Linked DNA regions of Oreochromis niloticus. The protein of the gene in region 1 interacts with the protein of each later gene in a pairwise test. Links are inferred from orthologs where the notes say so. Each region holds a gene or a part of one and is shown on either strand. Other genes may lie near its edges. The genes, in order: gadd45ga and tsnax.

The links.
Region 2: the proteins of gadd45ga (region 1) and tsnax interact in binary tests that used the Homo sapiens proteins (3 or more experiments, as listed by UniProt). The two-hybrid records come from large-scale screens. The link is inferred for Oreochromis niloticus from reciprocal best matches to the Homo sapiens genes GADD45G and TSNAX.

The regions. Positions count from the first base shown.
Region 1 is NC_031977.2:23,395,416-23,410,514, forward strand, and holds gadd45ga (growth arrest and DNA-damage-inducible, gamma a), read left to right. Parts: upstream 1-10,027; 5' UTR 10,028-10,135; coding exon 10,136-10,188; intron 10,189-10,307; coding exon 10,308-10,409; intron 10,410-10,532; coding exon 10,533-10,743; intron 10,744-10,886; coding exon 10,887-11,000; 3' UTR 11,001-11,566; downstream 11,567-15,099. UniProt on the Homo sapiens protein: Involved in the regulation of growth and apoptosis. Mediates activation of stress-responsive MTK1/MEKK4 MAPKKK.
Region 2 is NC_031978.2:23,829,541-23,845,618, forward strand, and holds the start of tsnax (translin-associated protein X), read left to right. Parts: upstream 1-9,286; 5' UTR 9,287-9,554; coding exon 9,555-9,570; intron 9,571-10,712; coding exon 10,713-10,799; intron 10,800-10,887; coding exon 10,888-11,002; intron 11,003-12,277; coding exon 12,278-12,408; intron 12,409-16,078. Other genes in the region: egln1a (egl nine homolog 1), read right to left, coding at 5,769-6,467.

The DNA.
Region 1 (15,099 bases):
GTGTTTAACAAAAATATAAACTCCGTGTTTCTTTCTCTGTTGTGCATTAAAAAACAGCAAAAGTTATGAAATTACCTTAGCATTTGCATTTGAAGATGAAGATTTAGAGTCACTCTCGAGGGATTGTGTGTCTGGGGTATGGATGCGCTCTCTGCAGGTTTTTGAAGTGCATCCTGGGAAGAGAAAGCGTTTTCGTTAATTTACAAATTAATGTTTTTCCAAGGTATCACAATGTAATACTAAATAATATACAATAATTACCTCTTTTCTTGAAGGTAAAGGTACATTTCCTACAGATTGTGGAGACTTTGGCTCAACAACAATGTCTTCCTCATTCTAACGAATCACAAATTAATTAAAACATAACAATTAGACTGAAATATCTGTATGTCTTGTTAACATACATTATTACAAAATATTTTGAAAGGAATCACTATGTAATGACGGTTTATAAGGGAAAAAATATTCAGCAAAGGAATATAGTACTATAATTATTGTAAATGATAAAGTAATATTCTGATTCAGATTTTGGAACTGGATTGGGCAATAACAAGATCAAATGGAGAAATTAGAAGGGTGGAAGACAAGAGTGAAAAGTTAGTCAGCAGCAGGAGGATGAGTTGGTTACTCCTTTAAAGTGGAGGTCAGATCTGACACTCAGGTCTTTGTGAGGCTGTCCTGTGGGTGCTTAAGGCTCTACACCTCATGGTTTGGTGATTTGCTTTGGTATGTGTTTACTTGCTGTTAAGCCCATTGTAATCTACTTTCTTGCTCTCCATATGACTCATTATTACTCTGTTTCAAGATTTAAATTATTTTAAAGATGACATTTTGGAGTGAATTTGTTTTATTTGTATCTAAAAGCTGGATCTCTACTATAGCTGGATAAGGTTGTCATAATGGCTTCAAAATTTTAAATCTGACAGTAAGTGTATGACACATTTCTTACAATGGAAGGAACATCATCTCCAAGTGTTGTCTCTGCAGTAGGAAATCAGTCTGTAGCAAGGGACCCTCTACCCCTGATGTGGTCTGTAAAAATATTTGATTTTGCATAATAATTTTATTACAGGAAGTTCTACCAAAGAAATATCTGTTCTTTTTTTTAAACTTTTTTTTTTAAATGGAATAAATAAATACTTTGTGAGAACACATTGCTTACCTTTTCATACTGCAGGACTGCTTTGAGAATTTTTTTCCTATTAAGACATGTATTAGGCACTCCAAATCTCTTGAGACATTTTCCCAAAAGCCATGCACTTTGTGAATACTGTAGGTCTTTAGACTGGTCCCGGGTTCAGCATACTTGTGAATGACCTCTAATATATTTGGCAGGGATTTTGAAATTGTCCGTGCCTTTTATGTAAAAGAGAACAGTGACATTAACACATCTTTGTTCAATCTGTATCACTTACACCACAATAATGTATCACATTATTTTTTGTTAAATTACTTGCCTTTCCAAAAACTGAAAAAGTGCAGGTCCTGAAATTTTGAGACAAATGAAAATTAATACAAAGAAAAACAAACCATATGAACATATCTGTTATCCTGAGATCAACCTTGCAATGCTGATCAACAATAACATATGAAACAGCATAAATGTGAACTCTTCATTTAAGTTTAATAGACTTCAGAAAACATTTTGGGGCACTCCAAGTACCCACACTCTAGTGATGTCCAAACGCATGATGCGGAAAAATCTTTTGGTGCATTTTTCTATGCCAACAACATAACTGGTAGCAGTTAGATTTTTGGACATACAAGTGCTAACTAACACAGTCCTTTTTAATGTTTATTTGCTAATACACTATCACTAAGTTCTAAGTTTTAAAATTCACAGTGCAAATTACTGTAATCAACACTATAGTTAAAACCACAAGCACTAATTCACTGTGTATAATACACATTCCCTACCTGATTTATTAGTATTAATAATGTTATACTCTGTTGGATATACATTTTGAGTGGCTCCTAAACCACAAAGACAAGCTGTTAAAGACCGTTGCTCTGAACGTATTTACAATCATTATCACAATCACAACGACATGAAAGACTCATTGTGTCAAGCCAATGAAAAATTTAAATCTGGTAATACCCAGTGCAAATGCTTAAAAGAGAATTTATGACCTTATGTGACAAAAAGACTTTTGTGAGATGAGTTATTTATCATGGTGAACACTGTTACTTATTATGGTTGTTTTACAACTAATCAACCAAACATGGATTTTGTTTTAACGTATTTTTTCGTACTACAAAATGTTACGTATCTTTCAATTATCTCAATGTGATATCACTTCTTTTTCTTAATGAATATTTATATTTAAAAAAAGATACAACATCAAAAGTTTTAACTACGCTTAAATGGAGTGTGTTACTTTAAATGTACGCCTAAGAGTACAAAATCTAATCTTAGGTAGGCTATATGTTATATTTCTATATATATATGCTCTCCATCGGTTAGTATATCAATATTATTAAAGTTTTCAAATTCTAAAAATTATGATTTTAGACACATTTCTGGATGAAGACTATATACAAAGCGCAAACAATCTAAAACAATTTTCTATAATTAGACTGAGGAAATAACTGGCATGAAATGGCTAGAATGTTCTCGTTTCTTGTTAATAGTTCAATTTTTAGTGTTAATTACTCACCTTTCCATTTTATTGTTGGTGGGTAAACCGAAAATTTTTGTCCACGTAGGCCTCGAAGAAAAGTTCAGTGTACTAATAATAAGTATATGTAATGACAGCGTAACCACATATAACCGTTCCTGTCGCAATGAAAGCTACGTTATCTGTCCGTACGATGCAACGACTCAATAAATACCGAAAGATCAAAGGTGGGTTGGCTATATGTCATGTGACTCTTGTCCCACACATCAGTTTGCATTGAATTAACAAAAAATAATAATTTAATTCTAATAATGAAGCAAAAACTAAAAAATGTTAAGGCAATGTACAACCTTTTAATGTCATGTATAAAATATAATCAAAATAGTATTGGCAGAAATATTTCTATGAGTTACAGTATGAAAAAACAAAAAAATGTATGAAACCTGCAATCAAAAGGCAAGATATTGTATAGGTAATTCATAATATTAATGTTAAAGACAATGAGTGTCAGAGAAAAAGACAAAAGCATATTGCTTAAAATATATTGTAAAAGATGTGATAAAGACTTCATATAAATTATGAGAATTGAAAATTGTTTTTATACCTCTAAGACTACTATTACTTATAGTAACATGAAAATTAACAAACAAAGAGGAAAATATTATTTTCTATTGGACAAGTGAGTGAGTTAGATTTTCAACGTTTGTGCACTTAACATATTTACTGAGACAATCAAAAATGAGCATGGAACAAGATCTGTTGCATGCCATGGCATCCAGCTCTGTGTTTTCTGTTACTCTTGTCTTTCACGTGTCAAGCCTCATTCTATTGTCCAATGCAAAGGTAATTGGCATGTCTCTATTGGCTGATCTGGGGAACAGTAGACCAATCGCTTGCCTGGGATAATTTAAAAAAACAGCTCCCAGGCCAGGTTGGCTTCTGACTGTCTTTGAACTTTTGTTAGTAGGTGTCTGTGTGTGTGAATAGAGTGTTTGGGTGTGAGGCTGGACAGATAAGATCGGAGTACCCCAAACACATTCAAATGAGCTTTAAGTGTTAAAAACACTAGGTTAGGCAGGTGATGACACTTTTGTATCCTGTGACTGACCTTATGTGTCAAGCAGCTACACAGGCCTTTGTTTTGCATATTATTAGATTTCCACTTTAGGGAAGCTGTTGGCATCTTTTTGTTTTAGTAATGTCTTTGATCTGGCTCAGCCGCCCGGTTCTCGTCCACAGCCTGTTTCTTTTGTTAAGCTACTTTTATCAAGGCATGGTAAATGAACAGTAAACCTTGCCTGATGACTAATCTTCCCGTTTCCCTCTCATTGATTATTTGGGTTGTCATGCAGAAGTATTAAACAATGCCTTTTATTAGAACATAAGCATTTAATTCAGTAATTTTATTTGAATTAGTCAAATATGAGTGGGCAACTCTGACCATGACAAGACTGCATTTGCTCTAAAAAATTAATACAAAATTTAGACATATTGTTGTCATTATTTTTACTCTTCAATTTTATGTGTTTTTTCTTTAAGATGGTATCAGAAGTTGCTCCTCCACCATAAAAAAAACCATCTGCATGTATTCTTTCACTACATCCACGATTCTCCTCTGTGGTCTTCCTCATTCATCCTGTTTGGAGCTTAATGTTCAACATCCTTTATCTATTAAAATTACAGAAGGAGAAGAAAATAATCATCAGAGCAGGAGTCATGATAAATGATAAATAGATTACTAGTACATACAAACATAACACTTGCATAATTTCTCTGATAACGCTGCATTGGATGGGTTTATTAACGGTGGGCTGAAATTGTACTACAGTATGCTGGTGAGGAACTTATTTGAGTGTTGAATAAAATGTCATCCGCAATCTGTATATGAATTGTCATTAAAACCATAGAGATTCTTACTTATAAAGGAAAGAAAGGTGGGACAATGCACATCAACATATAGTGTATATTTTTGAACATTACAAAGATACAGGTAATTCTGGGTTCACCTGAATTACAGATTAGACTGGTGGACAAGCAGAGATGTTGTGTACAACTGGTGACAGCATCAGTGACAGGGATGCCAAAAGGAAGAACAAATTAATCAGCAAGGCTGGAAGCAGAATTAGGAGGCGTCAGAGTCAGTGAGGGTCAGAGATCAATGAACAAATTGCCCACCTTCATGGATAATGCATCACCCTCAAAAGGATTCAAAATTTGGGCCATGAAGAACAGTTCAGGAAACCTATTTTATTGTTTCATCTGCGAAACTGTATAAATGAAATGTAAATTTTGTTAAAGGAAAACACATTTGTAAGCCATAAGAAACAAACATGCTTTGCATTATACCTTCAAACATCTGTATAGATTTCATACAATATTTATTAACTGAATTTCCAAACATGTCTTGCATAGTGAGAGTATTTCTTTTACTGATGATATGTCAATGATATGTATTTTTATGACTAAATAATACTCTATCGAACACCTGGCAATAACAGCAGGTGTAGCAATTTTGTAATTAGTTGTTTAAATTTGATATTATTTTAGGCAGTACATTTTCTTAGCCTTTGTCATACTCTGTTAACACAGCAGTCTCAAAAACCGTACAGTAAATTTGTCTGTAGATGACAGGATGAAGAGTGGACATGGCCTAGAGTCAGAATCCAGTGAAATATCAGTGTCACCTCTTATACTTTTCCTGTAATCTGAGGTCAAAGATTTGAATATATAGAGTACAGTAGAGTAAAATGTGCAAAGTTTACTATCAATTTCTCAAAAACCGTACAGTAAACTTGTCTGTGGATGACAGGGTGAAGAATGGGGGTCACCTAGAGTCAGAATCCAGTGAAATATCTGCGTCACCTCTTACAGTTTCCTGTAATCTGAGGTCAAAGATGGGAATATATATAGTACAGTACAGTAAATAGTGCAAAGTTTACTATCAATTTTCAGGAAAACCGTACAGTAAATTTGTCTGTGGATCACAGGGTGAAGAGTGGAGATGGCCTAGAGTCAGAATCCAGTGAAATATCTGCGTCACCTCTTACAGTTTCCTGTAATCTGAGGTGAAAGATGGGAATATATAGAGTACAGTAGAGTAAAATGTGCAAAGTTTACTATCAATTTTCAGGAAAACCGTACAGTAAATTCGGCTGTGGATCACAGGGTGAAGAGTGGAGATGGCCTAGAGTCAGAATCCAGTGAGATATCAGTGTCACCTCTTATACTTTTCCTGTAATCTGAGGTCAAAGATTTGAATATATAGAGTACAGTAGAGTAAAATGTGCAAAGTTTACTATCAATTTTCTCAAAAACCGTACAGTAAACTTGTCTGTGGATGACAGGGTGAAGAGTGGGGGTCACCTAGAGTCAGAATCCAGTGAAATATCTGCGTCACCTCTTACAGTTTTCCTGTAATCTGAGGTCAAAGATGGGAATATATAGAGTACAGTAGAGTAAAATGTGCAAAGTTTACTATCACTTTTCTCAAAAACCGTACAGTAAACTTGTCTGTGGATGACAGGGTGAAGAGTGGGGGTCACCTAGAGTCAGAATCCAGTGAAATATCTGCGTCACCTCTTACAGTTTTCCTGTAATCTGAGGTCAAAGATGGGAATATATATAGTACAGTACAGTAAATAGTGCAAAGTTTACTATCAATTTTCAGGAAAACCGTACAGTAAATTTGTCTGTGGATCACAGGGTGAAGAGTGGAGATGACCTAGAGTCAGAATCCAGTGAAATATCTGCGTCACCTCTTACAGTTTTCCTGTAATCTGAGGTGAAAGATGGGAATATATAGAGTACAGTAGAGTAAAATGTGCAAAGTTTACTATCAATTTTCAGGAAAACCGTACAGTAAATTCGGCTGTGGATCACAGGGTGAAGAGTGGAGATGGCCTAGAGTCAGAATCCAGTGAGATATCAGTGTCACCTCTTATACTTTTCCTGTAATCTGAGGTCAAAGATTTGAATATATAGAGTACAGTAGAGTAAAATGTGCAAAGTTTACTATCAATTTTCTCAAAAACCGTACAGTAAACTTGTCTGTGGATGACAGGGTGAAGAATGGGGGTCACCTAGAGTCAGAATCCAGTGAAATATCTGCGTCACCTCTTACAGTTTCCTGTAATCTGAGGTCAAAGATGGGAATATATATAGTACAGTACAGTAAATAGTGCAAAGTTTACTATCAATTTTCAGGAAAACCGTACAGTAAATTTGTCTGTGGATCACAGGGTGAAGAGTGGAGATGGCCTAGAGTCAGAATCCAGTGAAATATCTGCGTCACCTCTTACAGTTTTCCTGTAATCTGAGGTGAAAGATGGGAATATATAGAGTACAGTAGAGTAAAATGTGCAAAGTTTACTATCAATTTTCAGGAAAACCGTACAGTAAATTCGGCTGTGGATCACAGGGTGAAGAGTGGAGATGGCCTAGAGTCAGAATCCAGTGAGATATCAGTGTCACCTCTTATACTTTTCCTGTAATCTGAGGTCAAAGATTTGAATATATAGAGTACAGTAGAGTAAAATGTGCAAAGTTTACTATCAATTTTCTCAAAAACCGTACAGTAAACTTGTCTGTGGATGACAGGGTGAAGAGTGGGGGTCACCTAGAGTCAGAATCCAGTGAAATATCTGCGTCACCTCTTACAGTTTTCCTGTAATCTGAGGTCAAAGATGGGAATATATAGAGTACAGTAGAGTAAAATGTGCAAAGTTTACTATCACTTTTCTCAAAAACCGTACAGTAAACTTGTCTGTGGATGACAGGGTGAAGAGTGGGGGTCACCTAGAGTCAGAATCCAGTGAAATATCTGCGTCACCTCTTACAGTTTTCCTGTAATCTGAGGTCAAAGATGGGAATATATATAGTACAGTACAGTAAATAGTGCAAAGTTTACTATCAATTTTCAGGAAAACCGTACAGTAAATTTGTCTGTGGATCACAGGGTGAAGAGTGGAGATGACCTAGAGTCAGAATCCAGTGAAATATCTGCGTCACCTCTTACAGTTTTCCTGTAATCTGAGGTGAAAGATGGGAATATATAGAGTACAGTAGAGTAAAATGTGCAAAGTTTACTATCAATTTTCAGGAAAACCGTACAGTAAATTCGGCTGTGGATCACAGGGTGAAGAGTGGAGATGGCCTAGAGTCAGAATCCAGTGAGATATCAGTGTCACCTCTTATACTTTTCCTGTAATCTGAGGTCAAAGATTTGAATATATAGAGTACAGTAGAGTAAAATGTGCAAAGTTTACTATCAATTTTCTCAAAAACCGTACAGTAAACTTGTCTGTGGATGACAGGGTGAAGAATGGGGGTCACCTAGAGTCAGAATCCAGTGAAATATCTGCGTCACCTCTTACAGTTTTCCTGTAATCTGAGGTCAAAGATGGGAATATATATAGTACAGTACAGTAAATAGTGCAAAGTTTACTATCAATTTTCAGGAAAACCGTACAGTAAATTTGTCTGTGGATCACAGGGTGAAGAGTGGAGATGGCCTAGAGTCAGAATCCAGTGAAATATCTGCGTCACCTCTTACAGTTTTCCTGTAATCTGAGGTGAAAGATGGGAATATATAGAGTACAGTAGAGTAAAATGTGCAAAGTTTACTATCAATTTTCAGGAAAACCGTACAGTAAATTCGGCTGTGGATCACAGGGTGAAGAGTGGAGATGGCCTAGAGTCAGAATCCAGTGAGATATCAGTGTCACCTCTTATACTTTTCCTGTAATCTGAGGTCAAAGATTTGAATATATAGAGTACAGTAGAGTAAAATGTGCAAAGTTTACTATCAATTTTCTCAAAAACCGTACAGTAAACTTGTCTGTGGATGACAGGGTGAAGAATGGGGGTCACCTAGAGTCAGAATCCAGTGAAATATCTGCGTCACCTCTTACAGTTTCCTGTAATCTGAGGTCAAAGATGGGAATATATAGAGTACAGTACAGTAAATAGTGCAAAGTTTACTATCAATTTTCAGGAAAACCGTACAGTAAATTTGTCTGTGGATCACAGGGTGAAGAGTGGAGATGGCCTAGAGTCAGAATCCAGTGAAATATCTGCGTCACCTCTTACAGTTTTCCTGTAATCTGAGGTGAAAGATGGGAATATATAGAGTACAGTAGAGTAATTTGGGTAAAGTTTACTATCACTTTTCAGGAAAACTGTACAGTAAATTTGTCTGTGGATCACAGGGTGAAGAGTGGGGGTCACCCACAGTCAGAATCCAGTGAAATATCTGCGTCACCTCTTACAGTTTTCCTGTAATCTGAGGTCAAAAATGAAGATACTATAAAAGTACAGTACTGTATATTGGTTAAATTTTATTGTTAATTTTCGCTGAATTGTACAGCAATTTTGGCTGTGGATCATGGGGTGAAAAGTGGAGATGAACCAAATTTGGGAGTGGATTGTAAAGTAATATAGTGTCAGGACACAAAAGACTGCGTTTCTTAGCCGGGCTTCATCCGTACCGTAATATACGTAAGAGTAGTGCAACCACATTTTAGGTGCGGCTGGCGGGGCGGCTAGCTTGACTGTGACTTCGTAAGTGAGGGCTCACTTGACCGCAGTGACGCGCCAAGCAGGTGCACCGGGAACCGGTTGTTTATTAAGAGCAATGGAAAGCTGCACAGGGAAAGTTCGGATAGATGATATATATAAATATCTCCCCAGTGACTCTCCAGACTGGGGAAATCCGCTAGTCCGCCAAAGGATTGTTCCAGAGTTTATCACACATCAAATTAATCGTCACTACTGTTTTAATGCGGCTCACCCACAGAAAAAAGATCCGCCAATTTTCCCTCGGCTAATCCGCACACTCAGTTCTGTTGTCACCTGTAGGATAGTCTGAATTCTTCTATGCCCACTGTGGAAAAACACGAGGCGTAATAGTTACATAATTCCAAAAACCGGGGATGTTGCTATCGAATGGTAAATAACGCCTCTGCAAACGATGATAATAATAATAAATAAAAGAGAATCTCTTAGAATGTCTGCGCTGTGACCTATGTGTTTTCTGACTATCATAAACATGTCAGCTTGTCCAGGGGCAAACTGAAGCCACAGTGGTTCAAAACAAAACAAAACAAAACAAAAAAACTTCATATCACCGTGTTGTTTGCAATGACTGTGAAAGTTCATCGTAAACAGGACTTGTAGTTTTTGCCCTTAGTGGTGATGCTGGATGTTGACAAGAAAAGGAGAAATTGGGAGTGGGTGGGGGGGATTTCTTGAAAGGTTGTAATCTTGCCCCACGTGGGGCTGTCAACAAGATCAGTTCGACTGCTCGGGGACTTTTTTTCGCTTTCCTCACCATAAGCTCCTCTGAGCCAATGGTAGGAGACAGGCTCGGAAAGACCGCCCCTTGCCGAGAAACGACGCCAAGTGCGGTATAAAGCCACCCACAGACCGTTCAGAGCTCAGAATAACGCAAGAGACTACACAGACAGCTACACAGCCTTTTCTTAACACTGCAACATCCCGATTGCGCTTGGATTATAACTATGACTCTGGAAGAGATTCACGGACAAGAGAACACAATGGAAAACGCTGATAGGTGAATATTTTACTCATCGATACAACGTTATTTAAGCTCCTGGATTAAAGCGCTGTAGCTGTTATTTTTGGGGAGGGTAATGTGATCAGTGTGCTGATGATGTATTTTTCTTTGTTAAGGGTGCAAAGTGCAGGCGCAGCCCTGGAGGAGCTGCTGATCGCTGCTAAGAAGCAGGACTACCTGACAGTTGGAGTTTACGAATCTGCAAAAGTCATGAATGTGTAAGTATTGCATTTCGTGCCACTTTCAGTTACATTTGCCCTTTAAAAAAAAGAAAAGAAAAAAAAAGTCGAGCACACGCAAAGCAGGATATGCACTAATCACCTTTCTTGTCTTTCCTACAGTGACCCAGACAGCGTGGCGTTCTGCATTCTCGCCACCGACGAGGAATACGAGTGTGACATTGCTCTTCAGATCCACTTCACTCTCATCCAGGCGTTCTGCTTTGACAACGACATCAACGTGGTGCGTGTCAATGATATCGACCGCCTGGCCGACCTCGTGGGTGCAGATGAAACAGGCGAGCCCAAGGACGCACACTGCATTCTTGTCACGGTACGTTCCCACTCAGTCAGGAGCTGGCAGCTAGTGAATCATGCATGCATCACTACGGTGTCTGACTTTTTTTTTTGCATGTCTTGTAGGTGTTGCCACTTTTCTGACTCTAAATATCTCCCTCTTTTTTTTAACAATTACAGAGCCCTAGTGCAAACCCATGGAAAGACCCTGCTCTGGACAAGCTGAGTGTGTTCTGTGAGGAAAGGCGCAGTGTGTATGACTGGGTGCCCACCATCACTCTCCCAGAGCGCTGAAGTGACACCCCCCTGCAGTTGCTTCACATGATTATGATGATGATGATGAAAAGAAAGTCAAGGAGCTGAGCTTCAGCTGGGGGGCCTCATGCCTTTCTGCCTCACATGTCTGGATTAAGAGGCTGTGGCTGTAACTCCCCCCTTCTGCAAGAGCACACTCTTCCAGTGCATCCTGGGTGAGCCCGTTGGTTCTGGATTACCCTGTGCAAGGGTTCAGAGCTCATGTGTGGACTTGTTCAGGTGTATGTGGAGTGGACAGAACGCCTGAAGGACACTGAGAATGGAGCTGGACTGTACTGCATAGTACATTAAAGATGGCAAATGGTGACCCAGTGACTGCCCTTTAACAGACACTGGTGGGACTAAGCAGAGAAGGTCACAGAGAGCGATACTTTGCAAGAGATGGACTTAAGAAAGTGGACTGGACTCGTCAGAGGGGGAACAAGTCAGGTGCAGATCCAGAAGAAGGCGTCTGAAAGTGTCTAAACAAAGGACTTTTCTTTATGAGTGCAGCTGTCAGGAAGTTCTTGGAATAAGCAGAAACTGCTTGCAAATCCTGATGTAAAGCTGACACTTTTTTTAATGGACTATTCAGTTTTCTTTCACATGCAGACAGAGCAATGCAGTATTGATTTGTATTGTACTGACTTGAAATGCTTTGTGAATAAACATTTGGAATCAAACTCATCTTCTCAGAAATCTCATTTTCTCCTTTGCATTTAGCTACACAGACATTAACTAACACCCAGGGTGCCACATAATGTGGGACGTCATGGCAGACTGCAATGATGCAGAGGTATCAGGAAAGTGTGGCGCTACTGGTTACAACTCTGCTTCACAAGAAGCTAATCGCACAATGTGGGTGGAAGGAAAGTAAAGATCAAATGATTGGGTGGCAGAGAGAGAGAGAGAGAGAGAGAGTAAAAGAAGAAAAGCGAAGCTAACAGTTATAACGTAATGATGATTGAAACGTGGGCTTTTTTGCAGGCACTGACCTTTTACTGCTGATAAACCAGCTGCCTTATAGCACAGTGCACAATTACTTAGGCTGGAACTGAAGCCTGTGTGTGTGTGGCTAACTAATACGTCAGTAGACAGTGAAGTTAGTTGTAGTTTAGTATATTCAAACAAAGTTGTTACAAATTAATTTAACATCACTCTTCTCATGCTTGATTTTTATTTTTAAAAAGTCAATTTTCAACAACTTAGGACTTATGCATAATACCTGGTAACAAATATAGGGAAGGTCTTCCTATTCCTGCAGCCACGTGCACACACAGCCACATGCACATTGAAAATTATACCGAGATGAGAGCTGCAGCTGAATGAGGGTCAGCAGATCAACAGCGGCAGGTATGGGGAAGTGTGTGAGTGCTGCGGTCAGCTCAGAGCTCAAGCTGACAGTAAAAGGTAGCCCACATCAAAGAGAAACCAGACTTCAGAGGAACTCATTTCGATTTTCTTGGCAGCACCTCAGTCTCCAGCCAACCGCTGGTCATTCTCTGCATGTGTACTCGCATGAGCTCGCATGAGCACACAGGTGCACACAAAGCATGAAGCAAAACAGGCTACTGCATGTGCACACTCTTGCACAAAGTTGTGCTCAAGATCATGCATAGCACACATGCACACACAACCAAAGGATGCTGTGTTAGACAGATGTCAGGTGATTGCTCAGTGTTCTCAGAACAGAGGAAGGTTCACTCAGTCAGAATTAAAGAAGAAAAAAGAATGCAGACTTGTATCTGGGGGACTTTCCATGGGCTTTAATATCTGCACTAGTAGGCATATGGGAGACTTGGGAAAAATTACCATGAATGCTAAATGATAAAAACTAATCATTTTATTGCATGTGCTGTCAGATTTGTAGATTGGGACTATACGGGCTTGTGGGACAACGATATGAAGACTAATGTGGTTGGTGATCACTTGTTGTCTGTGGTTGGTGTGCACTGGATTCTGTGATTAAACATGAAACCTAAGCATATCTGAGTGAGAGATGATTGTCCCTACCTATAAAAGTCCCAGCCAAGTCACAGGTCAGATGAGGAAACATGTAAAACATTTATAACAGAGGCCTGAAGAAATAATTCGATTATTTTTTCTTTATTTTCCACACCTTTCCAAAAGGCTTTTTGTCCAAACAGGTCAGTGTTCTTCAAGTAGCCTTCTTTGTTTTCTGCAATAAAAATAAAGAAAAGGCGCAGCAACAGCAGACACAGTTGTGTCTAATCTTGACCTGTTTTTGCAAAAAGCAATATTTAATGCCCCAGATAAGACCTATTTTATCAAGAATATAAATGTTGACTAAATTATGTGGCCTGAGTAAACAAAGTGTCGTGTTCGTACAGCAGTCACAATTAAGCATTTAGAGTATTGTTAACTAAATCCTTGACCTAGTTTAGATAGAAGTTAGACCAATGGTCTTTGGTATAGATCTGATTTTTCTTTGTTATCTCTAAAACATGCAAGTATGCATCTCTCAGGCCTACATACAGCAATAAACATGCCTATATTATGCATAATATAGGCCTAATTCCTTGAGCTTCAGCTCATACAAGCACTATGCAAGACTAGAAAACAGCGATATGCTTGTATTTATTCTGCATTACTTTTGGATACAGGTATAATGTGTGCTACAAGAGAACAAAAAACTAGCTGCTGGAAAGGACTTCTTGTCTCTCCTGCTGCTATTTGCACGGTAGTAACAAACATCTTCTCCCTGTGTTGGCTGGGATGCCAAAAGCCTGGAGCAACAGTCCAGACTGCTGAGGCAGCCGACTGTCTGCACAGAGTCTGAGCCAGAGATCTAGAGCCACGATAGACTGAAAGTGAGGCAATGAGACCAGACAGATGTAGTCTGACTTGGGAATATTAGTGTTTTCAGCTGTGACACAGAAAATGGTAAACAGAGTAGTTTGAGTAGTAGTTTGGTTTTTAAATTATTTTAATTCCAGTAAGGCTATTCACTGGATTTATTCTGCACGAGGGCACAACACTTAGCCAGGAAAGGCATTTTCTCTACTTGAAACTTTTAATGCTTTTTCCAAATGTTACAAATTCCACCTTGTACTGTTAGTAGAATAAAAATGTCACATGTGTGTTTAATCTGTCCAAAAAGCACTGTAAAGGGGCTATGCACGGGACTTTTTTCTGGGTCAGTGCAGTGACTTACTGGACACTTTAAAAGCTGCATGGATCATTCCCCATAATGGCAAAAACTCTAGATGCATGCGATAAAGCTTCCGATTGAATTGCGGTATATAACAGTTTTATGATTTTCTAACCAGCTCTCAGCAAAACAGTTCATTAGCTAAAATGGAAAGCTACTGTTTTTGAATGTGAGCTGTATTTGAAAGCAGAATTACTTTAAGATTGATAAATTGTGAAAAAAAGATCCTATTTCCAACTTAGAAACAATTCCTAAACTGATGAATCTCCTTTAGTTGACACTGACGCACTTGAACAAGCCTGGCGGTTGGTAATGTGATAACCTTTTGTTCATCCATCCATTTTCTTCTGCTTATCCAATTCAGGGTCACAGTGGGGCTGGAGCCTATCCCAGCTGTCACGGGGCCAGAGGCTGGGTACATCCTGGTCAGGTCACCAGTCTATCACACATAGAGACAAAATACCATTCACACTCACAACTGAGGCTAATTCAGAGTCAACAGACAATTTAATGTGCAAGTTGAATTACCCAGAAAGTAACTCCACACGGAAAGGCCCCAAGCTGGCCGGTGGATTTGACCCCAGAACCTTGTTGCTGTGAAGCAACAGTTCTAACCACTGCATGACTGTTCAGCTGAAAATGTGAAAATGTGATGATGCTAATAGGGAATGCCTTGCTTTCGCCTGGCTAAGAGCAGAACTGTGTGTTGTGCTGTGATGTCAAAATATCTAAATGCTGCTTTTTTTGCCTGGGGAAATGATACAGCATGTTTTGCCATCTTGGGATACCCCAAACATTTGCAGGCTTGTGGTTCAACTGTAAATATTCTGCCCTTCTCAGATCCATTACTTTCACGGCTAACTCTCATATTCCTGCTTCAGTCCACTTACAGTAACCACCGCAAGATGAGATTACGCGACGAGCCGG
Region 2 (16,078 bases), on another chromosome or scaffold:
AATGACAGCTGAAGCCTTCATTTACTGTTGCAAAGAGGCAATTATAATTATTAAAGTATCTAATTTGCAAAAATATGTTCATCTGCTCCACTGTGGGTCACCACAGTGGATGGATGTTCATGTTTGATATGGCACTGACATTGCCCTTCCTGAACACAACCATCCTGTTTATCAGGGCTTGAAATACATTAGCTTGTGATCCCCTGAGGCTGTGTTTTCTATTTTAAAAAAATTCCAATTATGCTTTAATTTGTTTTTTTAAAACCACCATTACTATCACGCTCCACCCACCATAAATCCTTCCTGTCTTCAAGCCCACGGTTGCAAGTAGTAAAAAACAAAGAGCTCTTTCTCAGGGCTCCACCTGGATCACGGCCAGGTGTTGCTCTTAGACAGCTGTGATAGGAAACAGAGGGATGGATGTGCGCTTAAAGCTTTAATAAAATGTAGATTTTAACAGCCTCATTTTAACCAATGAGCACTTATTCAAGAAAACAACACTGTAACGAATGCTGGATTAAATTAGATGCATTCATCCCTCTCTCTGGTATGTCACACTGATTTAGAAATCAGTCTACGTGGCTTAGACCACGCTATGGTTTTAATTAAAAGAATGGTATCATGAGCATTTGAAGAAATCCACAGATGGATTACAGGCTTTGAGAGGGGATACGTGACCACGATGGGTGAGCCTGAGCGCTGACTAATTCCTGGACTATTTCTGGTCAACAGTGAGATGGTTAAACAATAAGCAGGATAAAACCAGGCATGAAAGGTGCTGCACTTAAGTGAAGCTGGTACTGTAGGCCGACGGAATGAGCACCTCATGGAGCCTATAGCATAACGTATAGCTGGCCCCAGCGCTCAGAGGACCACTGTCACATGACTTCCTCTTGTCTACTCGCTCTGTAGAGCTTTAAGATTTAGGTCAACGGTCAACTTCCTTCTGAAAGCACATGTCCACACGTCGCTCTGTGACAGAACAAATGACAAAAGCAAATAACTGCCAACAACGTCAAAACACTGTTGTCAAACTCTGTTGATAGGGAAGGGGTCTGTCCAGTTCTGTCCTGTTTCAGTTGAACAGCTTTGAAATGAATGAACCGAGTAGATGCTTTCATAGCATGAGAAAAAGATTTTGAAAAAACAACGGAAAATTGCAATACCGCATACCGTATTACATGCTCACAGCCTACATCAGTAACAGCTTTACAATTAAACTTCCTTAAAAGTCGTCCTTTTCTTGACAATTTACAAATGTGTTCTTGATGAATCAATTAGTGCCCAAAGACAATATAAAAAGCAAACACAACATATTTAAATGTTTATCTTTAATCTAACAGTCTATTACCAAACTACAATGCATTTACAGACAACTAAAACTAACAAAACCTGCAAATGCACACAATTAAATTATATCTATGGGATGTATTCCTTGCTGAAACAACTTTTAAAATTATCGCATACACAAGGAAGCACTAAAAGAAAGCAAGCCCAGAAAACTGTTTGTTTGTTGTTGTCTCTAGGGCTTGCCTACAGTTATGTTACAGGGGGATGTTTTTTTCCACAGCTGACCCGTTGTTTTTCACAATAAAGAGTCATGTTTGAGACAGTAATGCAGCTGGAATCCAGATATGTGTAGCTTTGCAGCGCCCTGACTATCACATGAAAAAAAAGGACCAAAAAAACAAACAAATCAGGAGCTACATCTCCCTCGTGTGTATTGGGCTGCATTATATTTGAAAACTTGAGCCGCTGTGGGACCTCATTACAGTATATACAGTGTTTAAATTCAGTACTGAGTCATATTTCAGCATGCTTAACACGGCTATCATGTTTCATGTGAACGGCATAACTTTAATAATGTCAGCTTTGAAAAGTAGCAGTAAGGGTGTTTTATTATGGAGCCTTAGCTTAGCTGGCTATTCTTTTATCATGTAAGACAGACTAACGGTAGCGTGGAATAAGTCAGTAACAGGACAATTATGTTGCTGCTACAAGCTTCTTTAGGTTTCCGGATAATGTTTAAATGGTATCAGAGAGCATTCAACATGCTGGATCTGCAAAGAAACAAACATGTCCCGCTGCCTGCAACTTCCCACAGTGTTATCAAGTGAACGGGGGAAATGGAAACAATGGCATTTAATAACTATTTGGGCAAAATCTTTTTCCTCTGTCTCTCCCAATGCGAATTGTGCTTACATTGTGTCGTATCCCTTTGAGCCATTGATACTTGCGCCCTTTCCATTTGTGCAAGTCATGCTGATATTTGCTGGTCACAGTCCAGCCGTGTGTTTGCCAAGGCAACTAGGGCAGTAGGCGAGGAAGTCAAGTTCTCAGTAGAGTGTGAGTGAGCGGCCAGCTGCGTGGATCAACAGCACAACCTGAAATAATGTGCTTTCTCCAAAACATTTAGGCCTACTAAGAAACAGCCGAGGGGGGGAGTAGAGGGGGGACCGACTGGACAGGAGAAGCAACCTAAAAATAACAGCGTACGGCAACTAGAGCTGTGCCAGCACAGAAAAACAAGTACCTGGAGCGAGTAAAGGCCACAGACTTCAATCGAATGTGGGCTGTTTCACCACTAGATCCTTTAAATGTCAAGAGCTGTTATAACAGAACATGATGTAACAAAAGTAGATCAGGGACTACTCTTAGTGTATCATTTTTAAGCGCTAATTCCAGTTCTGGTATAGTCTGTTATTTCCCTCTAAAAAGATGTGACAAACACATCTCAAGGCCAAAGATCAAAGAAGTCCTCAAAACTGCTTAAAGCTTGTCAGAAAGGAGTTTTTTATATGCAAAAGAGTAAAAAGATAAAATAAGTTTACAGATCAGGATATTAAATACTGAAATTGTGGTAAAACTCAAAGAGCTACGAAAGGCTGCTTTCTGCCATTTAATTGTTAAATTGTATTTATTTTGCCATGTATAAGTCAAACTTATCTCAACTTAGTAACTCAAACTTTTGATATGATAAACTGAAATTTCAAGTTACTAAGATGAAATTTATATATATATATACATATATGTATATATAATCTGAATTTTTAACTTTTTATTTATTTATTTGTTTTTAATTTTTTAACTGGATGGAAAAATTATTATTTTAAGTGGCATAAAGAAAAAAACCATTAGATGCAATAACTGTTAATAAGACCTTAAATTTTTTTTAATCCTTTTTTTTTTTTAAATGTACCAGATTTTAATAACACTTCTACAAGAAATCTGACCTTATTAAATGTCATAATGTTTACTTATTTTTAAACTATTCTAAAAAATGTGCTGATTTCACTATATGGTGTTTGTTAACTCTGAAGTTAAATCATGTTTAATCTACACACGATTTGGACAAAACGTTACAAAAAACCCTACATTTTCCCAAATGACCTTTAAGTTTATGTACTACTCCAATATCTCAGTAAAAATACCTGCTGGTTTGCAATGCTTTGAACCAGTTTCAAAGTGTTAGTGATTTATCTGGAGAAAGTAAAGCTGTGAGCTTCAGCTCTTTGTTATTCACTTCACGGCCTCTGTGCAGGTCTCCTAAAGTGTACGAGCCCACAGCCGGCACAGCCTCCACCAGCAGCAGCAAGCTTCCTGTGGTGTAGGCAGAAAACCCTAACCCTTGTGAAAAAGACTTTGTGGTCAAAAATACCTGTCAGTTTAGCCATAAACCTAGGCCACGTATTCCCCACCCCACTCACCTCTTATTCACTGATTTATTTATTTTTCATTTTGAATTAGATTTAAAAACTAAAGAAATCGCTCTGAAAAACTGATTTAATCTCAAACAGCTTGATGTTTAGGTTAATAAATAATTATATTAAACAATCAAGATTATAATATTAACTAAAATCATTAAAAAAATGTTCACAGTCCAGCAGCTTTTATTTATTCTCAACCAAGAGAGCAGATATTTGTGATGGCTCCATCCACTCCATCAACTGTGTGACTACAAAGTTGGTTTATTTCTCTAATATTATAATAAAAGGCCCGTTGCTTTAGTGTTTTTTGCTTCTAGCCAGATTCAAAGTGATGTTGCTAAACTTCTAGTTAATAGTGACTATAGCTTTCAGAGAATTTCCCTCAGGAGAAGAGGAGGAAGAGGAGAAAGCCGGAAAGCACCTCGTCCTCTCCTGAAGCAGTCTCATGCTATAAGGCCATGGTGACCAGATCTGTCAAGAGTCGCAGGTCACACGCAACCATCTTTATCCACTAGACAGCACTAACAGTTAGGAAAAAACAAACCAGGTGCCAGGAGAGCTTCTGAACCCTAGCAGCTCAGCCTGAAAAAACGAGAACATCCGACAATTAAAAACAAGTTCTTAGAAAACACATTTTAGTGAAACAGAAGCTACCCACAGCTTCCTCTTCCCCCAGAAACACACAGGTTTTCTTCTCAGTATGGGAATGCTGCCTAACCAAATACGTCTGTGCGTGACACTGAACTTATCACCACAACCTGTCACCACTAAAGCGATGTCAGAGGTCATAGTGAGCCGCAGTAAATTCTCAGTAGAATGGGGCCTCGGGCTGGTTTCTGCCACATGGTTGCAGCTTCTTCACATCACTCACATTTTACCAAAAACAAAAGCTAAAGTACAAACATATGAATGCAATATATACACTCTGATGAGCTGGACTGTCTTTGCTGTTTGTGGATGTGGCAGCATGTGTTAGCTGTGTTAGTCGTCTCACTGGTCAGAATGACCTTCCTGAAACTAACGCAGTCTGTCACAACATAATAGCTCCGCTATTCACTGCTTACTAAGGTGCTTTCAGCGAAATCTGATCCCTGATTTGGAGACTGTGCTTTCTATATCTGATTCTTTCCCCATCACGTTTATTTTAAATAGAGCACCAAACATAATTAAACAGCTACGAAACACATCTAAAAACCAATAGTCATTCAAAATATGAACAATACACACTTAATGGAGGGAGGATTTTAGCAGTTTTTGTCTTAGGTGCATTTACTTTGCATAATAACTAAGAAACTGAGTGCAACCTGTAGAAGTGAGGACTGGATTTGAGCAGTAATCTATGGATAATATGGATTAAGGAATATATTCTGTAGGCATCAGAAAGCTCAAGTATTTACACATCTAATATACTTTTTTTTTTTTTTTTTAAATCATTTTAGGCTAGAATAAACAGTCCAGCATGGCATATGCTTGCAGCTGCTTGCTAGAAAAAGCCACGAGACAACAATGTGCCTCGTGCTTTGCTTTCATTAGATTTCAGCTGGATTTCATTTGATTCAAAGATGCTGCAGACACGTGATCTATCCAAATTTAGTCTTTCTTATTGGTTGAGGTATTGCGTTTATTTAAAGCAATGATTTGAGGGTGTCTTTCTATTGCCATGGCGACCGAACACGTGCGCTGTCTGTGCACACTCTTCATGCGTCCAAAACAAAACCATTAACATGTGAGCAGCACCAGCAATCACCTTTCTGACTCAGAGCAAAGCCAGAAGAGGACTCGGCAGCCTCTAACCCGCAAAGTCGAATCTAATTAGCAAACAGGGCTGATCTATTACACCTAATAGCACCTTAACGACAAAGTGGGAGGAAAAAAAGCTTCTGCAGAATGATGCATCCCTGTTAGAAATCTGTGGTACTTTTGATTTCATCCCCACGCAGCCAGAGTACTGCTGCTTTCCTGACCTTGTAGTGTGTGTGGCAGGTGTCACACCAGCAAGCCTCTGGCTCCTGGGGGATGAATGCAGTAGATGCGCAGTGTGCGCGTGTGCTTCGTACTTACCTTTGTTCTTCCATTTATCGTATAGTTTCCCAGTTTGCCATTACAATGTCTAATCAGGTCGTCCATGCGATTCATTAGAAATTGGATCCTCTCGCAGTGGGGCTCCTTGCCATCGATCCACGTGATTTTATCACCTCGGATGTCTTTAGTGGAGTCGCTCTTTTGACTCACCAGTTGACCGTCCGTGAACTTGCCAGTTTCGTACAGGGCCTTGACATTTTCAAGAATGCCCAGCCCGATCTCTGCTCCTAAAAAGTCGTCCACCACACAGATGCCGTGCTTATTCATGCACGGCACTATGCACTCCAAGGCAAGTTTCTGCGGGGATAAGCTGCTCTGTCCGTTAGGTGTGGCAGTGCTGTCAGACCTATTATGTTCAGCTCTCACTTCAATTCTCAGTGCTTTTGTGTTTGTACTTGTGTTTGCACTGTCCGCTTCCTCGGGGCTTTGCTCTTCTCGACATTTCTCAGGCGTCTCGTCGTCCCCAGGCTGCGGTGCCTGCTCGGGCTTCTGTGCAGGCAGCTGCGGCTTGTCCGCCTCCTTACAAATGAGCTTGTGTTTCTTCCAGTCCTGCTTCTGGTGCTCCTTGCTGCAGTAGAAGGAGCTGCGGCATCTACCGCACTTAAGAAGGTTATCAAACCTCCCGCAAAGTTCACAGTACTGTCGGTCTCGGTCCAGCTCGCTCTGCGGCTTCTCCATGTTTTGAGGATACAGGAGGCGTACTGCTCCTTTAATACCGATCCTTCACGCGCCTTGCTAATCGACAACTTTGGAAACGACCCGCCGCCGCTGCCACGCTGATACCCAGGGGAACCAAACACTCAAAACCCAGCCATTTTATCGCACTCATGTCCTTTTCTGCCTCGTGTGTCAGTGGAATAACACGACAACGTGCGCCCACGGACCAGCATTTAGGGGTGGGTCGAGGTCTTTGGGAGGCATTTCTGCAAGCTAGCTCTACTTCCCGGGGTAATGGATGGCGCCGCTCAGAGTGTGCTCAGCCAGCCCTGCCCGAGGACCGGCCCGCTCTGACGTCAGCACAAAGGCACCGCCTCTCTCGTGCTGCCTTCAGGTGCGGTCGGACAGACAGTTGGCGGTGAAAAAGTGGCGTGCTCGCGACACGTGGAAGTTCATGTTCAAGTCTTGTCGGGGGTATAAAGGGAGCATGCGCCTCTGGTCAGTCAGTAAAAAGTGATGTAAATATGTTACCCTATCTGTTTCAGTTATGCAATATATTCATGTTCTCTAACAGTGCAGAAAATTAGCTCCACCAACCATGCAGTAATAGGTATAAATAAAAATCCGACATGCAAAATGTGCAACAGACTGAAAGGACATAAATGCACTTTTATACTTTGAGTACACAATCCAGTATAATAGGTTATAAATCCAATGTTGCTTTCTTTATTACTTTCCCCAATACTGTAACACTGCAATACTGTGTAATGGCAAATTAAAGGTAGCGCTGTCATTTAAATTTGACGCAAACCGCTTACAGATTTGTGGAAAGGACAAGCAAAAGAGATATAGCCATATGGCAAGTGTTGCTTCAAGCATCACTGACTCGTTTTGTGCGCATTTCCTATCGAAGCAATAGTATCATATAGCCTAAATCATAAAGTAAGAAACCAGATTCTGATGAGCATTTGTCTACCTGAGTGTGGTTGTGCTGTTGTAATTATTCTATATTAAGCAAAAGAAGCATCTAAAAACCTGTGTCGTGCCAAAAAGTGATTTCTGTTATGTGCCAAAAAAATAATAATAAAAATAAAAACATAATTGGAGGTATTTACGTTGCTGCAAATGACTAATAATCTGCTAAACATACCACTCATGAATGATAGCAAATCGTTTTGAGCCCTGTCACCTTGTGATGTTAAGCAAGTCAAATATGTCGTTAAAATTAAAATGTCAAGAACTAACATCACACTTCTATAAAGATATTTTAATTGGCCAAAAGGGACTGGATTATAATCATGATGTTGATGCAATAAGATGGAGTCATAAAGATTTTTTGCAGAACAAGTCGTTTCTTCGTTTTATATATAACCCCTTCGTGACTCCTGTTGACTATAGTCTATTTATGAGAAAAAAGACATAATAAAAACAGAAGAATCGGAAACCAGTTTTTGGCACAAATCAGTTTGTAGGAGCTTGAAGGGAGCACCTGAAGGCATCTCCAGTCAGCAGCAATGTGTTGTGCTCTCATTCCTGGCTCGCATAGGTGAAATTCCTTTCGCACAAACAAAAAGTTAAAGAGCTTGCTGCTGTTATGATAGACAGATAAGTTGGGTGGTGTGCAGTTTATGAAACTTAGGATTGTGACAGACCGGTGACTTAAATCACTTACTGGAAGCCATAATGGATAACATTTTAAATTTTATGAAGCATGGAGATACTCATATAAATATTCTATGACAAACACCTGTCATTCATCACAACGATAAGTTACATTGTTTTGTTTTTTTCATCTGGGTCCTGGTCTCATTCCACAAATATAATATACACAAAACAATCATCCACAATGACACACCAAAGAGATGTAAAACGGTAGTAAAGAGACCAAATGTCAATACGAAGATGTAAAATGACTAAAATGAGACACAAAGTGAACTTAAAGAGATACAAAGTTACAACAATGACACATAGAAAATATAAATAAATAAAATAAATAAATACCCCAATTGTCACTCAAAATTAGATAGTAAACCCAAACGTGATGATATGTACATTTATCCCAAGAGAGTGGTTGTAAAAAGATGAAAGAAGTATCACAAGTGAAAAAACAACTTCTCGGTGATGTTAGATGACCACAGGGAGACACCAAATTTTAAATTGAGACGTGAAAATAATCATGAAAAATGAATGAAAACAAACGTATGCAGTAAGCATCACACAGCAGTGGCCAAGATTCAAAAAGATGCACAGATGGTTAACAGAAAACAATCACAAATCACATCTGCAGGGCATCCAGTAAAGACATTTCACTCATCTGTGGAAGAAGTCAGGGTGGAACTTTTTGTTGAAAAGACAAGTAATCTGCTAAACGTTGATTTAGATATTCGATGGAATATCTAAGATACCTGTTATTTTAGGTTGATAGTCTGGAGAATTTCTACGTTTGAATTTTGACTGGAAAGAGAAAGTTCTGTGTGGCACACCTTTCTTTTTAAATTTGGTATGGGAATATCTAATTAGTATACATGGCATCTTCAAGAACTTACCTAATAGTTATAACGTTTATAACGTCATAAAAAGCGATTATTATGTAATTATTATAAATGTAGCTATTATATGTTTGTATTGTTTTTAAGAAATTGTGTTATTATTATAAATGCAATTGTTATATAATTACGCCAGATATTTTCGCTACTTTCTAAAATCAGATTCTAATTATTTAAAAATTATTTAATTATTTAAAAATTAGTAATAAGGAAAACATTGTAATAAAACTAACTCCTGATTTTGCCATTTAACTACGTATCCCGTGATGCATCTCTTTGAATTTCCTGCTACGCGTGTAAACAGCGCAAAAGCCCCGCGATGGACTGAGGTCCGCACCAATGCCTGTTATTAAAACCAAGAAAACACCGTTTTATTCGCGTTAAAATATATGCAGGCTCTACTAATTTTGTTTTCCATCGTCCAGAGAACATTATTTTTTCTGCGTAAAGCGGAACTATTTTGTTCTTTGTTTGTAATAATGCTCAACCTTTACGTTTGACTGGCACTGGCGTTAGTGGTTAAAATACACCCCTAAAAACTGTGCACTACAACACCGAAGCTATGAATAAACGAGAAGGTAAGTCCAAGATTTCTTCCTTCTAGTTTCATGAGTTTTGTAATTAACTAGCGAGGCTAAAATAACAGTAGGACTAACATGTGATAGCGTTTTAACCTACCTACTCTGCCTAAGTCAGGTTAATGAAATCATTTCATGGTAGTAACAGAAGTAATAAAGTGCTAATCCTGTTCCATTAAAATATCTAAAGCACATACTAGTGCTTTATTTGTCTGGCCATTAGAAGTGGGAATCACGAGAAACCCCACAAGAGAATATCATCATAATACGTCACCTACGATACAATAGTATTGTGATTTTTTTTTAACGTTTTGCATTACGCTAAGTATCACATTTGTCTTTTTCAACTGCAGTGTATGCATCATTTTAAATAAAGTTAACTCACTTTCAATATTTTTTTGCTGCAAAAGCGAGATTATAATGCGTGCCAACACTGTCACTAAAATCTGCCATAAATGTTTCTATCAGTCTCCGATTGAATGGGGTCAAGTTGGCAATTACATGCAATCTGTACACTCACGCACTCAAACTCTGAGCAGCCATTTGGTCACTACAAGTTGCCATTGGCTGCTGAATGGGAAAAATCTCACCAGGCAGCCACTGTTGTTGTCATTTTTTTTGTACATACAAGAAATTTACTGTCCTATTTTATTTGTGTGACTGTCAAGCCAAGTGTGTCCAGTGTTTGATGTTTCTTCAAAGTGGTGCATGAGATGAGCCGTCTCATTTTTAGTATTCCTTAAGTATTTTAATTTATTTAATAAAATATTGATATTTGGTGTCCCTGTAGCGATACAAATTCACGATATTATGCTGTGTCCATATTTTTTCTCATCCCTACTGGCCATCAATCCAAGCAGGCGCTTAATAATTATAAGTAAAAAGGTGAATTTAGGCATTCTCTTCTTAAGATATCAACAGATCATGTCAGCTGTTGCAGGTTATATTTTGGGTCACTTGAATATTCCAACCACATTTTAAAGAGGGTTCTCTATTATTTTTATTTATTTATTTTTTTTTTTACTGCATTTCATTTGTCATTGTGGAATTCTGGGAGTTAGATTTATTGTATGTTTTTTCAATTTACCAAAAAGTCAGAGGCAGTTATTATTTAAAGACTATGACATCATCTCTACTGTCAGGTGAGGGGTGTTCACGGAGAAATGCAGATGCAGCACAGGAGCACGAAATGAGTGCCAACCCCTCGTCTGTCATGGCTGCCTTCAAAGGTAACAGCAGTATTCTCACTGCACTTTGCACCCAAATGGTTTCAATGTTATATTGCCTGCACTGAAACATTTCTCTGTGTATTTCAAGGTTTCCAACAGGAGCTCGACACCAAACATGACAAATATGAGCGTCTTGTTAAGATTAGTCGCGACGTCACAATTGAAAGCAAGAGAACCATATTTCTTCTGCACAGAGTGACCACGTAGGTGTTCTTAACAACAATATTCACCGCATAAATGAGTACTGTTAAGTCTATAAGTCTTTGGGATGAGTACTTTTTTTGTACTTTTGCCTCTGTGCACCAGCACAGTGGATTTTTAAAACAAACAATCAAGATGTGATTAAAGGTCAGACTTTCAGCTTAAATTCAAGGGGTTTAACAAAAATATTGCATTAACTGTGTAGGAATTACAGCCACTTTTATCCACAGTCCCCCATTCTCAGAGGCCCAGTAATTGTACTGTTGACTGAGGCAGTTCAGGTGAGGCCTCTTCCTAGATTATTTCATGATAAATACAGCAGACATGATATCTGAAGTTCATTCAACATGTTGAAATTAGGATTTTATAGTTTTTCACTTTAATTTTAAACACCAAGGCCAAAAAAGATCATTAGGCATCATTAGGCTAAAAAAGAAAACAAAATAAACCTGTCAAAGATAAAGCCAGATCAACAATCTGATACATTATTAAAGACAAAACATACTAACTAGTCCACAGAAGACAACTAAAGTGGATGATTATTGACAGTCACCCTTCCGCCGTGGCCATTTCTGATGAGCCACGCAGTAAATGATATGCACAGCAGCCAATGTCAAAAGAGAAACATTCAGTAGCCTGGAAAACTATTGCTCAAGACCAGTTTAAAAAAAATGACGATGCAAAATATGAAGAAATGAGGGGCGGCTCAGGACAGAAGTATCTGTAGTTACTAACATTTAATGCAAAATTTGGGTTAATCCCCTTGAATTAACGCTGAACGCACATATTGATTTTCTCATTGTTCTAAACCCTTCAGACATAACTGTATATCATTTTTTTTCAATGGGGCCTGCTTCTGATTTTAGTTGGTGTCTGGATACTACAGAGTGTCTTTTTTATGTAATTGATGTAAACGGCAGCTTTGAAAATAACCTACCTATCATTTACATTGTCTCTATTCAGTACAGATATTGTGTTAGGAGTGTTGTAATGTTTGAATATATGCTTTGGAATAATATGAAAATATCTTGACAAAACATATAATTCATTGTCAATGAAGATCTCAGAACAGCATCAGCTAAAAATGTAATAGGACTTTAATGAGCCTCACAGGGGGAAAATAATCTTAAAATGGTAAATGATCTTTAAAAGGGATAAGTAAAAACAATAAATACATTGGCATTAGTTTTAGTGGTCATGCAACAAAGTAAGTCTGAAACAAAATAAGTAGTTATATGTATTTTGTACCTTTTAACATTTTTTTTCTGTGTGTAAAGTGTACCAGATGCAGTGGATATCCTGAACGAGGCAGACATAAAGCTGGATGGAGTCAGGCAGAAGATTGGGCAGATTGCTGAGGAGCTGAGAGGAGAGGATATTTATCAGTTTCACAGAGCCTTCACACCAGGTGAGTGGTCATTTACTTCTTTTCGTTTATATATAAAGCACATATTTATTCTGAAAGAAACTGAATTCTTTGAAAGTGGTGTTTTTTCACTCTAAAATGGTTAATGGGCTGTTTAAAGTCTCCTGCCACACCCAAGTGGATTTATTAGATTACGGTGCCATGGGATACAAGGCACGTGGCCCTTTGTGTGTGACTCACTTAGGTCATATCTGATGTAAATTCCACTAGAGGTGTTTGCAAAAATTATAGCTCACATTCATTGAATCTCCTTCTTATTATTAAGCAGTAAGTATTATTTTGCTGTTTTAATCTTCATGAAGTACAGTAAGGGTTCTAATAAATATACGTTTAATATAATAATAGGGTGGAAGGTCCTAAAAGGTCATTCAAACCCATTAAGTACAGAAAGTTAGCACAACTAGCTTGCGTTGTATAATGCAGCTCTGATAGAAAGTCTTTACTTCTGATTGGTTCACTCAACTGCCTTAGAGTGACGATAGTGTCAATCACCCAAAATAAGAAGTAGACAAAGAAATCTAGAGTTAAGGTGAGATATGAAACTATAATATATATTTTTTTATCTGTTGATGTAATTAATAATTTCTTTTTTATGGTTTGTACTTAAATGATTTTCTTTCATCTTCAATAAAAGTCAGTGACAGTGTTAAAGCATGACCTTGATGCAGGCCTGGATGTGATGGTCACGCCTTCTGATAAAGTTGTTTTCAAACTAGCATAAGCACCACTTTTTGTTACTGTAGCCATAATGTCTGCAGGGAAGGAGAAAAACATGACTGGCAGTGGGAGCTGTTATCTAGCAGCTGGGGAAGTCATTTTTAGATTGCGGTCACACAGGAATCACTGCTGCATCCTTCGCGACGTGACCAATGCCAGTTCCCACCAATTAGCCCTTTTATTTTTTTCCCCATTTTCATCGTCTTTATTAGATTGAGGCTGGGCTCGATGCACGGGCCCTCCAGATAATCTTGGCTGGAGGAGAAGTCTCCAGGCATGTGTAATGGGTCTGTTTTTTTTATATAATGACCATCAAAGATATTGTGGGCTAAATCTGACCATAATTGCCACTGATAACAGAGCAGCGTGGCATTTGGGTAAGCTTTTTTGTTGTTGTTGTTGTTATTTTTTTTTTACCCTGCTAGCTGCTATGAGTCAGTGCAAACATACATTATCATGTGGAACTTTTCACGTGGCTCACCTGCAATTCAGTGAACCGCTCTGTGGTCAAACATTAGCTCAGTCCAAAAATCCTCAGTATTCTCAGTACATGAATGTGCGCCAAACCGCAACGGTACTGTTTGCGCATTACTCAAGATCTGATCCTGCCAAGCTATATTCGCACCCTCGCCTCTCAACTTTTCCTACCACCATGCCAGTAAAATCTCTCAAATTTCCACTTTTGTAGCTCTTAGTCACTGTTTAGACACGATGTTCTGTAAGGTTTCTGCGAGCCTCGTTGACCAAAGGTAACTTCTGCTTCAGTATAGACATAAACAACTCCTGACAGTAAGTGCAGGAACTGGGCTCTGCCTGCCTGCCTCAAAGCCTTATTTAAACTGCCTTGGACTGTGGTGTTCCCTCTGTGAAAGTGGATCCACTGGCAGTGTTTAGCTGGTAAGCATTTTTTTGTTTAAAGAGTCGAAAACAATTGCCAAATAAACACTGGGAGGACGTAAGCATAAAATAAAATACAGTATTTTGCAAAAGCCTTTAGCCACCCCTCATTTCTTTATATCTTGCATGGAAAAATTGAGTTAGGTGCTTTTATTTATTTTCGAATTTCATATGTCAGCATTAAGTGGCTTAACAATCCAAAAACATTCCTCTGAAAATGGTCAGGTCAAAGCACTGGACTGAAAATCAGAATCAGAATACTTTATTAATCCCTAAAGAAAATTATGTTATGTATATAAGTGAAAAAGTAGCCAATGGGCAAAGGAAAAAAAAAGGAAAAAAGACCTTTAGAAAGCCTGGAGAAAAACAATTTAAAGAAATGAGAAGTGGCTAAAGACTCTTTAACAGTACTATAAAATTATGTACTCCAGGTAAACAAGTTTCAGTTTACCATCTGTTTGTAACTATTACTAGTTAATCCTCAACTTAAAGTTGCAACTACACTTACAAACTACTCAGTTTCACTTCAACTGTTAATGCACAATTTTAAGTAACAATGTTTCACTGCTAACTATACTGTTAGCAAAAAAAGGAAAAAAATGTTTTCAATCCAAATTTATTCATAAAAACAACAAAGATGACTAACATGAAACAAAGAGTTACAGAATTAAAGTAAGACATGCTCCACACACACACACACACACACACACACACACACACACACACACACACACACACATCAACAAGCACATTCAAGGAATTACAAAAAATACAAGCAATAATATAACAGCCTAAATACCTAAGCTCTCACTCTGGGTTAAGAGCCAAAGAATAAAAATGTTTGTTTTTTGTTTTTGTTTTTTGTTTTTTTACCACTGGCTACTTTGTTGTAACTGTTAACAGTTACAGTGATTAGATAAGAATTTATTTTTCTTTAAAAAAGATTTTTTTGATAATGAATTGATAATTCATCTCATCTAATTTTTTCAAATTATTTCTCGTTTTCCTTAATATGCTAGTTTATGTTGCTTTTGCAATACTTGGTTAACTGTTAACTTTTCTGCTCCAGCTTGTTCAGATCAGTTCAGTTAATCAAATGCAAATTGTTGACATAATGTTTCCATGTAACCCATACAACTTTGAGAATTAATGCTGCGATATGGTTCTGATAAGTCTTTTTTTTAAAGACACAAATGCTTTTCTATGTTTGTACGTAGAGTTATTAGGTAATTATCAAATTGAAGTTCTGAGTATCAGATTTTGCTGTTGTCTCAGCAGGTGAATTTGTGATTTGTCAGTTACTAAGAAACTAATAGAAAAAAATCAGTGATTTTTCTATAATTTTTTATAATAAACAAAACGTTAAAGTGAAGTCATGATGACATAATATAGATGATCATCGATAGATTTTATGCATTTATTTTACAAATCCAAATAATGAAGTAGCTGCGATTTACAGTTTTCATGTTTTCCCTGCACGTTAGTGTTGTGTAGTCGGTCGTCCCACTGCCTTTGACTTTGTGTACATGCTGGTGTGACTGGACTGAAATCATAATCAGAGTGGTGAAAGCTATTCAGAGTACAGTGAAGATAAAGTATTCTTGCTGGCTCCGTGCAGCGCATTGCGGTCAGTAGGGAGAGATAGCAGGCTCTTTGAAGTTCAACTGCCGCTCCAAAAGTAAACTTCAGACACAAAGTCTTCCGTCCTGTGATTATTGGATTGTTGTTTACCCAGGGGCAGAAAACAAATGAGGGGTCATCTTAGCCCACCAAAAAAAACAGCCACTGTTGTTCTATCAAAAGATAGAGACAGGAAACAGGTTTTATTTGAATCATTATCTCCATCTGTGATCTATACTGTGCAGATTTCATGTTGATGCTGCACGCTCTGCTTGCTACGCTCATTTGATACATGGTCATTTTAGTAAATTGCAAAAAAATGCCCCAGCCACTGTCAAATTTAGTTTTAGCAGCACAGTGAAATAATCAGGTGAACATGCCATTGTTTTACTCAGATCCATTTTAATGTACTTTAATT